Oryzias latipes: one gene and its partners. The protein of the gene in region 2 interacts with the protein of the main gene of each other region in a biochemical or structural test. Links are inferred from orthologs where the notes say so. Each region holds a gene or a part of one and is shown on either strand. Other genes may lie near its edges.

Region 1 (4,409 bases), on a different chromosome or scaffold from region 2:
AAAAACATGAAGACCAAGGACATACATCTAGACTGGCAGATCAGGGTGTTCCAAATGCAGGAGGGTCATACTAGCAAGCCTTCCCATGACAGTCTACTGCAGGGTACTAAAGGGGAGAATTTGGTCGTTAGTCGAATCTCTGATTCAGGGGGAGGAGTGTGGTTTTTGTTCTGATTGTGGAACAGCAGGGGTTCTGCAGAGTAGACGCGGACATCCCTTTTGGATGCTTCCCTGGGAAGATATTTCAGCCGACTAAGAAAGAGTTGAGGAACTATGTCTCTAAACTGGTCTGGGACCACCTTGAGGTCCCCCAACAGAACTAGAGGAAGTTTCTATGAAGAAGAAGATCTGGACCCCCATGACCTGGCTCCAGATAAGCAGAAAAAGGTGAATGAAATAATTACACATCACAACTGAAATAATTCTCACATTAAGTTAATATTGTTTTACACTAAGTCTAATGAAGCTGTAATTCACTGCAGGGGACATCTGTGTTGTTTCATGATTATTATCGTTTTTTTTTAAAAGTTATGGTTCATGATATCAATTACTTCCATGATTCATGCATACGAAGGTTAGTGGAACCAATACATTAAATCTTTCAAGAAAAATGATCTATATATTTGTGTTGTTTTTATCTATTTACTTTGGGGAATTTTTTCAAAATAAAGTAATCCGAAGAATGTTCCAGCATGAGCTCTGAACTTCATCTCCAGCAGTAGCTCTCTGGACTGAACTTCTTGGACAGATTTGTTGGGAGAAAGCAAAGCGTTTGCTGAAACATTTCTTGTGAGTTCAAGAGGTGTCATTTAAAATATTACATAGATTTTATCCAACAAATCAATACATGCATATAGGTTAAAAAGAGATTTATGTTTTGTAAAACATTTGAAGGAACATAAATACATATATGTTTGACCTGTAAGTATAATAAATCAGTTTGGAGCAAATTGTCAAGTCAACTCAAATGTAACCCCATTTCTTTTTGAAATGGAAAAGCATTCAGTTTGGGTTTACTGATGATGAACAAATAAGCCATTGTCACAATTGTATTTGATTAATCTTATGATCTTTCTAACAAAACATTATATTTACTAAACCAAAGTAAGTAATAAAACTCCAAATTTCTTTTAATCATTTGCCCAAATGAGATATCATTTAACCTCTACATTATCCAAAACAAAAAAACTATTATCAAAATCCTCTTTCTCAGATTTATAGATTAACATAATTTTACTTTTATTTTTGTGTTTTTTAAACTTTATCTTTAAAAAGAAATCGATGCAGTTGATTGCTCTGTTCCTTACTGATTGTCATTTTTGTTTTAAATAAAGATTCCTAAAAAGAACTTTTTTTCATGAAATGAGTGGTATGTCCACTAGATGGCAGTGTTACACTACTAACATGTTGCTAACATGTTAGTAGTGTAACACTAACAACAACTAAAGGCTTCTTTGGGTGCTTCAGGGGTTTTTGAAAACCTCTGAACAGAAGGTACCTGGGACATTAGCAAAGTCAGAACTTGTATTTATTAAAACCACACAAAATGTTTTTTAAAAATTCAAAAAAAGAGGCGGTGGCGGATTAGTAGACCAGCCCCTCTTTATTACGTTTTAAGGAAGTTGCTCAACGTCGGAAACCCCATTTTACCGAGTCGAAAACAAACTAACCATTTCTGTTTACGTTTAGTCCCGAGTTTCTTTGAACGTAATCAAGCGTTGCTTGTTTGCTTACCATGTAATTTGTCGAAAAAAGTCGAACTTTTGTTTGGAACGTGTCGTAGGATGGACAGCTCGGTGACTTCCGCCACGTACGTTCGCAACATCAGCTACAGTTTGCGCCGCAAGCTGTCCGACTGTCTGGACCCTTACGAGACCTGGAGAGACCTGATTGTGGCCCTACGGAAGCCGAATGGGGAGCCCAGGTACACTCAGCATCATGTAAGGTGAGAAAAAAAACTGTTTGGGGGGGAGGTTTGAATACAAGGAAGGCGACAGAGTGCACTTAATTAAATTTTCATTGTGCCAAATATTATGGTTATCTAAATATACTAATAACAATCCCTTTTGCTCCCTTTTTATCTGTGAAATTATAAAGTATGCTGCATTTTTTTTAAAACTCAGAAAATATAGACATTTGTGAAAAATACAATTTGAATAATTGGTGATGCGCCATCCTTATACGTTTGTGAATAACATTAATATCCTTTTAATTTGTCGCTGTTTGCTTCAGGAGATTTGAAGGTCTTGTTGCTCAGGGTAAAAGCGTCACCGTGGAGCTGCTCAATGACTGGGGGACCACCAACAGCACAGTGGGGGAACTGGTGGACATCCTGAGGAGTCTAAACCTCCTGGCTGCTGCCAATCTGCTATTACCTGGTGAGATCAATAACAGTTTTTGTTCTTTTCTACTCCAGGCTAAAGGATGAGTTATTGTTTTTATTATGACAAATAGACCACAAATGGCATGACTTGTTCTTTTCCTTTTTGTATTTGTGCTGCACATGAACAACAAAGAGGTTCTATCCAAAGAAACACAGCAGGTATCCTCAGTGAAGGCAGAAAAATGTCCTCCAACCTTACTGCTGGGTGAGGCCCCAAATCCACCTGCTGGCTCCTCCCTGCAGACACAAACACTGCTGGATGATGGAGGAGACGACACAGGTGGGTGCAAAGTTTTCTCTAAACCTTATTTCATCATCTTCGGTCAGATATGTTTTATATGATATGTGTGATTACTTATGGATTATTAGGAACACATTTTAGTCAAGTCAGCTTTATTGTCAAATATACTGTATACACAAGATATACAGCACAGATGAAATTTCTTTCCTCTTAACCCACAGCTTGTAAAATTAACAATAATAACAATAATTTAAATAGGTCAGTGCAAAATATTGAGATATTTTAAAGTGATAACAGGGCTAAGAAACAGTAAGTAGAAGAGTGGGTGATGGCAGTTTAGCTCAACTATACAAAATATTTATTTTAAACTGGCTTCCTGAAAGATTCTGTATCTAACTATAACTCTATGTTCAAATCTTAAAGACCCACTCCAAGGAAAACCATGTTTTTAACATATTCTTGTGGCATTTTTCTGATGGAGGACATGTATAACGCATATTGGGCTTAAAATTGCATTTCTGAGTACCGGTATGTCTTTATTCAAATCACTGTGAATCAGGAGCAGACAAAAACAATGCTGTTGGAAAAATTGTTATGTAGAACTTACAATGACAGGCCACACACTCCCTGCTCTTCTGTTTATCCACTTGTAGACAAATAGACCCATGTCTGTCTTCGTTTTCCTCATCTGAGCTGGCATCTAGCTCTAAACTGCACTGCTGGATGGCTCTGTTATTGCTCGCTGTTTTTGTTGCACCACTAATGTTAAGTGGGGGTGTAAGGGACTGTAAGCTAGTGGGAGATTATGTAAACAGCTCTCAGTTATGGGTGATGGGAAGGGGAGTGGGGCTGCTCTGCACCAACAAGAATCCTTGAAAAACCAACAGAACATTTTACCTCTTGGAAATTGACTGCTGTAGAGGCTTAAACTAGATCTTTGTTTAAACCCTTAATGCATTCCGATTTATTCCTTCAATAATTATAGAATTGCTTGCAGTCCCTAATATGTAGCTCTGAATGTATAAAGGGAATTGAGCTGATTTAAAAAAAAAAAGACCTATGACTAAATACAAGTTTGCATATCTGACCAGCAGATGGCAGCACTGATTTTTTTTTTTTAACCACTCGTGCTTTAGGTGTCTCCAGATTCCTGTACGGAGAGCTTATGAGGATCACCAGGAACTTCGATGACCGGTCCATCTCAGACGGCGGCAGTCGTATTGGTGCGGGAGGCTTCGGGACAGTCTACAAAGGTTTGCTAGACAGCAGACTAGTCGCAGTAAAAAAACTCAGTCCAGTACGTGGGATCGTTTAAACACATTCTTTAAAACGTTGCAGATACTGTCTGCGAAGCTCTAAAATATTGTCTCGTTTAGATGGAGGACATGCCGCTGGAAAGTTTACAACTTCAATTTAACCAAGAGATTCAAACTTTGAAAGTGTAAGTTTGATATACTTTTAGCCAGAGGATTAATACCAGTAAACACAAAAGTCTTATTACCCGGTTCCTCAGGCTAAAACACCAAAACCTGGTTGATATGGTTGGATTTTCCTCTGATGAGCAGCATCTGTGCATAGTGTATGCCTTAATGGCAAACGGATCTTTGCTGGATCGACTTGCTTGTTTGGTGAGCAGCATGCAACACTTAACATACATCTAGATACGTAAAGGCCGAGCTGTCCATCATCAAAATCAGTGGTATGATTGCTCGTGCAGGATGGAAGCCCCCCTCTGTCCTGGCAGCTGAGGTGCTTCATATCCGAAGGGGCAGCTAGAGGACTGGA
Region 2 (3,618 bases):
GAATATTGTTGTAAATATTGGACTATATAAATAAAATTGAATTGAATATGCTAACGCAGGCTAACGTGTAGCGGCTAACGTGTTGTTTGTGTCACTAACAAGGTTAGGATTTGGCATCGTCACAGTAACGTTTGTTTCAGTGGGATTGGTCTGTTTTAATGAGTTTCAAACAAGGTTGGGAGTTACAGGCTTTGTGAATACGCTAATCCAGCTAACGTAGCTAACATTCTAGTTTTCTTGATAAATCTCCTCGATCATGAGAAAAATGCCACATGAACATGTTCAAAACACCAGAAACCTCATTTTCATGGGAGTGGGTCTTTAAGCTCTTGTTCACTCCATTTTTGGGTGGCCCTGTCGACTGTCCCGGTTGTGAACCGGTGCTTTCTTTTAATGCCGGTATATATAAAGGGGCCTGAGTCTGTCTCTGGTTCTGAGTGCAGAAAGACCTGGTGGTGGAGGTGGAGGAAGGCCCAGCGGCGTGGCGGCGGCAGCTGGACAGACGTCTGGTGACAGGTCAGCACAGGACTAGAGGAGGCTGAACGGGTTTGTGTTCCTTTGTGACGCGGTGGGTGTGTCTGCAGGGGGGGCGGCTGAGCCTGTGGGCTTCCAGGAGGTGGTGGCTCTAGCATGCAGGTGTCTGAACCAGCAGAGGAAGAGGAGGCCCCCCATGACTGAGGTCAGGCTGCTCTAGATGGCTCCATCTCTGCTGCCTTTCTCTGCTCCTCACCTGAGCTCTTCTCCTCGCAGGGGTTTGACTGTCTAAAGAGGGTCCACAACATGGTGAGGAAGGCTGCCCCCTCCTCCTCCTCCTCCCAGCCTGATCCTCATCTCCGCCCCCCCTGCTCTCCAGATCATGTGGATGTTCTTACCTATCAGCTGTCCCAACTAGGTCCACTGGAGCACAGTTACCCCCCCTCCTCATCCTCCTCCTCATCCTCCTCTTCATCCTTTTCTCCTCACCCGCTGCACTCCTCCTCCCTGCCCCCCCTCTCCTCCATTGCTGGCCCATGTGAGACTGATGAAAGTCGGGGTTTTTCCCAGTACGACCTCCGTCCCCAATCCAGATGTGACTGCAGGTCCCAGTCGCCATCCAGCACAAACCCAGCCCCCCCCTCCAGCCAACCCCCTCCCCCCATCAAACACAAGCCCCCCTTCCAGATCAGCAGCACAGGTGACTGTCCAGGGCCCAGCACCCCCACGAGGTCCTCCTCAGGACCCGACAGTGGAGTGGTGCCAGCGGGCCTTGAGGGGTTTTCTCCTGTGGGCTCCCTGCATGCTCCTCCCCTCGGACCCTCAAATGGGTCAGCAGCAGGTGCTCAGATGTGGGAGGCAAAGTCTGAATGCTCCTCTGCTTCAGTCCTCATGAACTCCAGCAAGCGCCGCCTCCTGGAGAAAACCCAACAGTACATGGAGGGCCAGATCCGGACGCCTGAGCTGCTGTCGTCTCAAAACCTCTGTAAGTACCATCCAGCTCAAGTTTGTTGCCATGGAAACTTCCCATCCTGCATGTGTGGGTTCTGCCAGCTCAGTTCTGGTGGTACCACCCGCTGTTTCCTCCGTCCTGCAGGTTCTTTCAGACTTTTGCATTGGAGTTGTTTTGGGTTTTTCTCTAACGGACTCTGTCTCTGCTCTGTGTTGACTCAGATGAAGCATGTGGTTCTGCAGACCCTGGAGAACCAGAGGAGAGTGATGAGCTGGACTACCTTCAGCACAGCTGACCGCTTCCTGCTGTGGCTGTGGGCTTAAGGTCCACAGGCGGTGCCGAGCTGTGACTGGACTGTGAGGCGCTCTAGACCAATGGGACCTTCAGGAACCCGTGACAGAATCTTCTGACTCAGGCTTCAGAACCTCCAGATTTTTTTCTCCATCAGTTCTGCTGCATCTTGGAGCAGAACTGAAGTCGGCCTGTGGTCACATGACGAAGAACTGAACCAGGACATGGAACCCGCCTTGTACCATTTTTGGACCAATGCAGAACAGCTGGGGTTTGTTTCCAGAGAGAAGCATTCAGAAGCCTTTGGTTGTAATGGTCTTGGTGTCTCATCAAAACTTAACGATTGAGTTGCAGATGAAGCAGAACTGGACAGGTTGGTACTGGACTGAAGCTTCAGCTGCTCAGATTTTGGCTGTTTGTCTTCTGTCCATCCAGACTGGAAGAGATCTGGATGGACATTTTCCTGGACTTACCAAGACTGTGGAAGTGCTGACTGCTTCTCCCTCAGGCTCAGCTCCTTCAGGCGTCTGGTTCTGTGTCGGAAAGTAGAACTGGATCGGGACATGTAAAGGGTGAAAAAACAGGCGCCCCTCAAAGTCCAAACAGCATTCTTTCCTCCAGAGCACGAATTCTAAACAACTACACCCCTGCCTGAACCGTTCCAAAGGTACTTTCCATATTTGGATGTTTCAACTGATCCTGCGTTCACGCCGGACGCAATTCGTGCATCAAATTGACCCGCTGATCACATCATGAGTCCCAAGGCTGAGTCCCTGATTGATTTACTCAAAATTCTTTGCCAAAGTTTGGATATTTGAACTCTAGAAACATCACGACGTGATGAAATGGCTGAAATGCGTTGCTGGCAGACCGCCGTGCCGCTGATCACGTGTGTATATTGACAACTGGACGCCCCTAATGCACGAATCATGTTCAGGGAAAACAAAGGTTAAAGATGGAACAGCAAAGAGAAGAACCCCCCCATCATATGTTGTTAAGATCAAAAACAGAATAGGATTGGGATTTTTAACATTTTTCCCCGGAAGGTTTGTCCTTGACTCCCATTAACAAACACGGGGGGGGGGGGTGACCTTGAATCATGGAGCTCTGCATGGCAACCAGAAACAGGGAGTCCTATCACATTTGTTGTAATGTTAACAGTACAAAAGTGGATTAACCTCAATGACCAAAGAAAAAGATGTCCTTCAGCTTCTGAAAAATGTACATTTTAAAGCAAAAAGGAAGAAAGTGTTGATCAAAGTCTCTAAAGCAGCCAGCCTCTTTATTGTTTTTTTTTAATTTGTCAATTCAAATTTTAGAGTACGGGCACGATCCAGTGTGTTCATATTCTGGCTCCAGGTCAAAGGAAATGCAGAGGGTCGTGTCAGGACGGACATCCAACTACAAATCAAAGCCTCATGAATCGTGGGAATCACAGACGGATCTTTCACAACAGACCAGTTGTTGGTCGGGGTAGCAACAACCACCACCACTGCTGTTGATCTACAGGGTGTTTTCTAATCGTGCTGCAGCTGTGCCTTCTTGTTCCCCCTCCTTAGAGCTCAGCGCATATGTAAATAAGGGAAACCCACAAACTTAATAAAAGGGGAGGCGACAGGAGTATGCAGCAGAGCGGAGAGAGATTGTAACTGAATATTCTTCTCTGTTCGTTCTCATTAAAGGTACCTTTGTCTGTTTGTCTTTCTCCTTCCTTTTTGAATAGTTCAGATGTTGCAGGTTGTTTTAACCCAACATTAATTTGTGCCCCACAAAGCCTTGGCACATTTAAAAAAGGCTTAAAAACTTTCCTTTTTGAATAAAGCTTTTTAGTACTTCTGTTGTTGTTTTTGTCTTACTTTGTTCTTATTTTTAAACCATTGTTATTCATGCCTTCATTGTAG
Region 3 (4,327 bases), on a different chromosome or scaffold from region 2:
CACTCATAAAAGAAGTCTGTTCGTTTCTGTAAACATCTGACATTTTGCACTGCCACAGAGCTGCGGTTGCCAAAACAAAGTTCCTTGTGAACTGCAGCGCACGTGCAGGAGGAGCGCATGCAGCACTCTGGAGATGGAGATAAAAATGGACGCAACACAGACAGCCCGTTTCACTTCAGGGAGATCTGTCCAGATTGAGCTTGCAAACACTGCCAGTATGTGAGCTGTTTGGGAAGCACAGAGGTGTCGTGCACGCCACCAGTCCCACAGTTTTTTATCCAGGTGCAGCAGACGAGAAGTCTCATTGATCTGTGATTTAGGTGGTGCAGCAGAGACCAACAGATGTTTTTTTTTAAATATCAAGCAGCAGAAAACTTTATGTTTCTGAAGGCTCAGTTTCGAACACACAACAAATATCGACTTTTTTTAAAAGTATTTTACTAATCTGACCTTTGAAGGCATTTAAGAACCTGCTATGGCTGTTCATTCGCAGTTTATACACAGATGATTGAATTGAATGATTTTTAAACACAGTACGTTTTTTTCACTTATTCATAACAATTTGATTATAATTGGAACATTTCTTTTCAATGTTGTATCAGTCTGTTTTGGTTTTATCTGAACTGCTAAATGTAGCGTTTTACAAATAATTTTTACAAAATAAGAGCACTACAAGAAGTGGTTAAATCTTTAAATTTGTCATAGCTAATAGTGTTAATTGTGCTTTTGGAATAGTATATAACAATATTAGCTTCAAAACTGATTAAAGCCTTGCCTGTATGGAGCTTTTGATTTAGTATTGACATAGGTATTGATTATTTGTAATCTCAAATTTTTTCAAATTTTATTTTATTTATTCTTTTTTGTTTCAATTTTGAATTAGTTTTAGGCCTAAAACGATAATTATAGAAAAGTTTAAGTTTAGTTCTTCATGCACTCGATCTAAAACACTCTCAACTGCCCAGTAGTGCGTTTGTGTGTGTTGCATTCGCGTGGTGACACTAAACTCGGATTTTGGACAATCGGTTGTCTCGACTAGAAATAAATAACACAATGAAATGTTACTGTAACCACAGATGTATTTTCATAAAACACGTCAGTTACTTTATCTTTTTATTTTTTTTATCCTCGAAATATTTTCAACAGCAATGGTCGGGTGTCGAAATGATGATGAACATAAAATTTAACAAAATAACATGGGTTTGACATCGTAATTTATCAACAACATGGAGCTCAAAATCTGTAAAAGTGATGGGAGTTCTCTAAATCAAAAATTATGTTAGGTCACGAACACAACTCAATTATGCCCAGTATTTTTACGAAATACAAAGAAAAGTTTGACTTATCCGATAGTTTTTAAATGCATTTGTAGGCAAATGATGGACATTGGAATCGACACTCCAACTCCCGGCGTGCTCTACGTCACCTCGTTGCTCGTGCCCCCTCTGCTAGTGTTTACGTTGAGATGCTCACAACAAAGGAGCGCCTCGCGCGCGGAGGGAGACTCCGTGACTTAAAACAACGTTTTATTTTATCTCCCCGCGAGCCTTTGGATCTTGTGTCTGCTTTTCTATACGCCAGGCCTTCACGTGGCCTCCTTATTTTTGAATTTTATTTTTTTTAGTCCCGGGATACGGTTTTGGGAATTAACGGGAATTCTTTTTGTGTGTGTCTGCGTGCGTGTGTGCGCCGGCGGGACGTTTAGCTAGCTGCCGCAGCAGTTGGAGTAGCTGCTGGATCATCAGGAGCCACGGGCGCGCGGGGACCGAAACGAGCATCTGTACCGCGGTGAGTTTACGTTCGCAGCCTCCCAGCCCCTCTGCTTCCATGATGGGGCGCTCTCATCGGCACGCCGTGCCCCTCCGTCAGTGAGGGTCAGCCGCTTTGTCCTGTCAGCGGATTTCAGGCGGCCTCGTTACCGGCCGAGCCGCGCGGAGCAGCAGATGTTTGTGTCAGATGTTGCCGCACGGCCGCGTGCACCTGCTTGTCGTCGCAGCCGGGAGATCCATCCGTGGGCATAAAAGCTGATGTCAGTCTGATGCTCTGCTGCTTTAAAAGCTGCAGGTATTCCTCCCCACCGCTACCACCTCCACCATCATCCATCCTGACCTGTCACGAGGGAATAAGACACGGACTCCTGTCATTACGACCTACACACCTTCACCTCTTTCACTTTCTCCTCTAAGTTCAAGAGCTGGTAGCAAATATGAAGACCCCTGAAGATTTTCCTGCAGGACTTCACGGTTAAGTGGCTGTGGATTAGGGTGTGACCTCAGAATTTGAACCAGCAGGCTTAAAGAACTTAAAGGGACAGACAGATCTGGCTGCCTCCATGCATTACTAACCAATCCAGGGGTCTGCAACCTTCAACCCTTAAAGAACCATTCAGGTTGATTTCTCAATGACAACCCAGCAAGAGTCTCAAAGTCTTTAGAAAAATGAGACACAGATTTTTATTCAAATTATTGTCACTAGAAAAATAGAAATAAAATACTTTGCTTTTTGCCATAAATACACATAAAGAGAAAAAAGTCAAAATAAGAGGTTCCTTTAAAAAAAACGTCCCAAGTCAGCAGTGAAAAAAAATTAACCCATTTTATTTTACTGTTTGTGGTGCATGTCAGACAGAAATGTTTAAATGTAAAAAAACTAAAATTAAATCAGAGCTAATTAAATGAGTCTCACCATATTTTTTGAACCATAAGGCAAACTAAAAAACCCTTAAATTTGTTCAAAAATACAAAATCTGTCTTATAATCCTGTACCTTGATTCTGGTTGTAATTACTGGCCTCCAATTAATTTTCTGTCGTACGCAGTGCAGAAAAATATGACAAAATGTTTTGGTTTAACTTGTGCAGTTTTGTCTTTCACCCATTTGTGAATGAATTGAATAAGTTATTTGTTAAAATGAAAACCTTTTTATTTTTCTTTAACCAAGGATGCACAATGGAGGGGTTATAGAGCCAGATGCAGCTCCAGATCCTCAGGTTGCAGACCCCTAAACTAGTCGTTGATAACTGGTAGATGATGTGTGCTGTTTAAAGCCTCTTTATCTCTGTATGTTCATCTTCATCAGCATGAAAGTACAACCTGCTGAGGTGCTCAGAATCCAGGTTGAGAGGCGACATTTGCGCCTGTATTTTTGTTGTCAGGGTTTGACTTTTGTAAGCAAATCAAAACGTGTCGCAGGAAAAAGCTAAAAAGGTTTCGGGGTCAGTGTTTGATCCACACTCGCGTGATGAGACGATGAAGCACTTATCAGCTGTGTGGGCAGAAGGTGGTGGGAGTATTGTGCAGACTCCTCAGAGTTCCCACGCCCAAAAGCTCCACTTGTGAAGTCGTCCCATGGCGGTGGTTGTGTAACTGGGAAGAGCAGGTGTTGCTCACGCCGTGTGCACACTTCAGGGTGTGTTTTCTCGACAAAAAAAAATTGGTTATGTTTCTGCAGGTTCGAGTAATGTTCTAAAAGTTCCTCATGTTTGAGAACCATTTCAAGGAGACTTCATAAATGTTCCTCCTTGTTCAATTTAAGGAAAATAATGTTACATTTTCCAGCTTTAGTTGCAGTACCTCACATCTCTGCCACCCAATAAGCTGCCTCCTAACATACATTTATGTAAACACATGTTAAGGTAGTCAAAAGCATCTCTTTGGGTTACCATGACAACGTGAGACATACTGAGTGGCAGGGAGGCTGTGAGGACTGAGCTAAGTGTGCGAAACCTCCTTTCATCACAGGAAATAATCAAACCAGGAGCATCCGTCTGCGTCCTTTCAGAGCCCTCAGATGAAAACATCACGGGAGAGGGCTTGGCGTGTTTGCAGTAAATCCATACACGTGGCCGCGCCGTAGGGTTGGCAGGGACAGCCCGGCGGGTGTCAGCGTCTGCAGGCTGAGCTGCAGCTTTGAGGAGCTTGGGCTCCCTGACCAGCTTTACTGTTTGCTGGGCCAGTAAACAGGCTGAAGTTTGTACAGGAGATTACTTGTGTCATGGAAAGTGGGTCAGATGGTGGGCACGTTTTTATGGCCTTGTTTCTGCAATATAGGGAATTTAAGGGGGGGGGGGGGGGGGTGCTCAAAACCACCACTAACTTTCCGTAACGTTGCTTCAGGCTTCAAAAGTTTTTTCAGTTTTAGTTTGGAGCCTAAAAAACCAGATTTTCCTGACGTCAGTTCAGATTCTTTCAAACTCTTTTGGTCAGTCTTATTCCTTTCCTCTTCCTACATCTCCACCACGCACAGAGTGGGTTTTATTCAACAGGTAATACCAAAAAAAAATGGAAGAAACAAACATTTTTCAGAGTTCAGCATCTTCAACAAGCTTC

What was found.
Region 1: of the proteins of interleukin-1 receptor-associated kinase 1 (region 2) and irak4, one has a biochemical effect on the other in vitro, tested with the Homo sapiens proteins (2 studies listed by BioGRID). The link is inferred for Oryzias latipes from reciprocal best matches to the Homo sapiens genes IRAK1 and IRAK4.
Region 3: of the proteins of interleukin-1 receptor-associated kinase 1 (region 2) and E3 ubiquitin-protein ligase pellino homolog 1, one has a biochemical effect on the other in vitro, tested with the Homo sapiens proteins (5 studies listed by BioGRID and IntAct, with this or other methods). The link is inferred for Oryzias latipes from reciprocal best matches to the Homo sapiens genes IRAK1 and PELI1.

Annotation. Positions count from the first base shown.
Region 1 is NC_019864.2:12,581,660-12,586,068, reverse strand, and holds the start of irak4 (interleukin-1 receptor-associated kinase 4), read left to right. Parts: upstream 1-1,600; 5' UTR 1,601-1,784; coding exon 1,785-1,945; intron 1,946-2,232; coding exon 2,233-2,378; intron 2,379-2,516; coding exon 2,517-2,663; intron 2,664-3,760; coding exon 3,761-3,921; intron 3,922-4,000; coding exon 4,001-4,065; intron 4,066-4,137; coding exon 4,138-4,252; intron 4,253-4,341; coding exon 4,342-4,409.
Region 2 is NC_019865.2:30,220,109-30,223,726, forward strand, and holds the end of interleukin-1 receptor-associated kinase 1, read left to right. Parts: intron 1-443; coding exon 444-516; intron 517-584; coding exon 585-679; intron 680-750; coding exon 751-1,459; intron 1,460-1,647; coding exon 1,648-1,721; 3' UTR 1,722-3,553; downstream 3,554-3,618.
Region 3 is NC_019873.2:11,839,220-11,843,546, forward strand, and holds the start of E3 ubiquitin-protein ligase pellino homolog 1, read left to right. Parts: upstream 1-1,427; 5' UTR 1,428-1,788; intron 1,789-4,327. UniProt on the Homo sapiens protein: E3 ubiquitin ligase catalyzing the covalent attachment of ubiquitin moieties onto substrate proteins. Involved in the TLR and IL-1 signaling pathways via interaction with the complex containing IRAK kinases and TRAF6.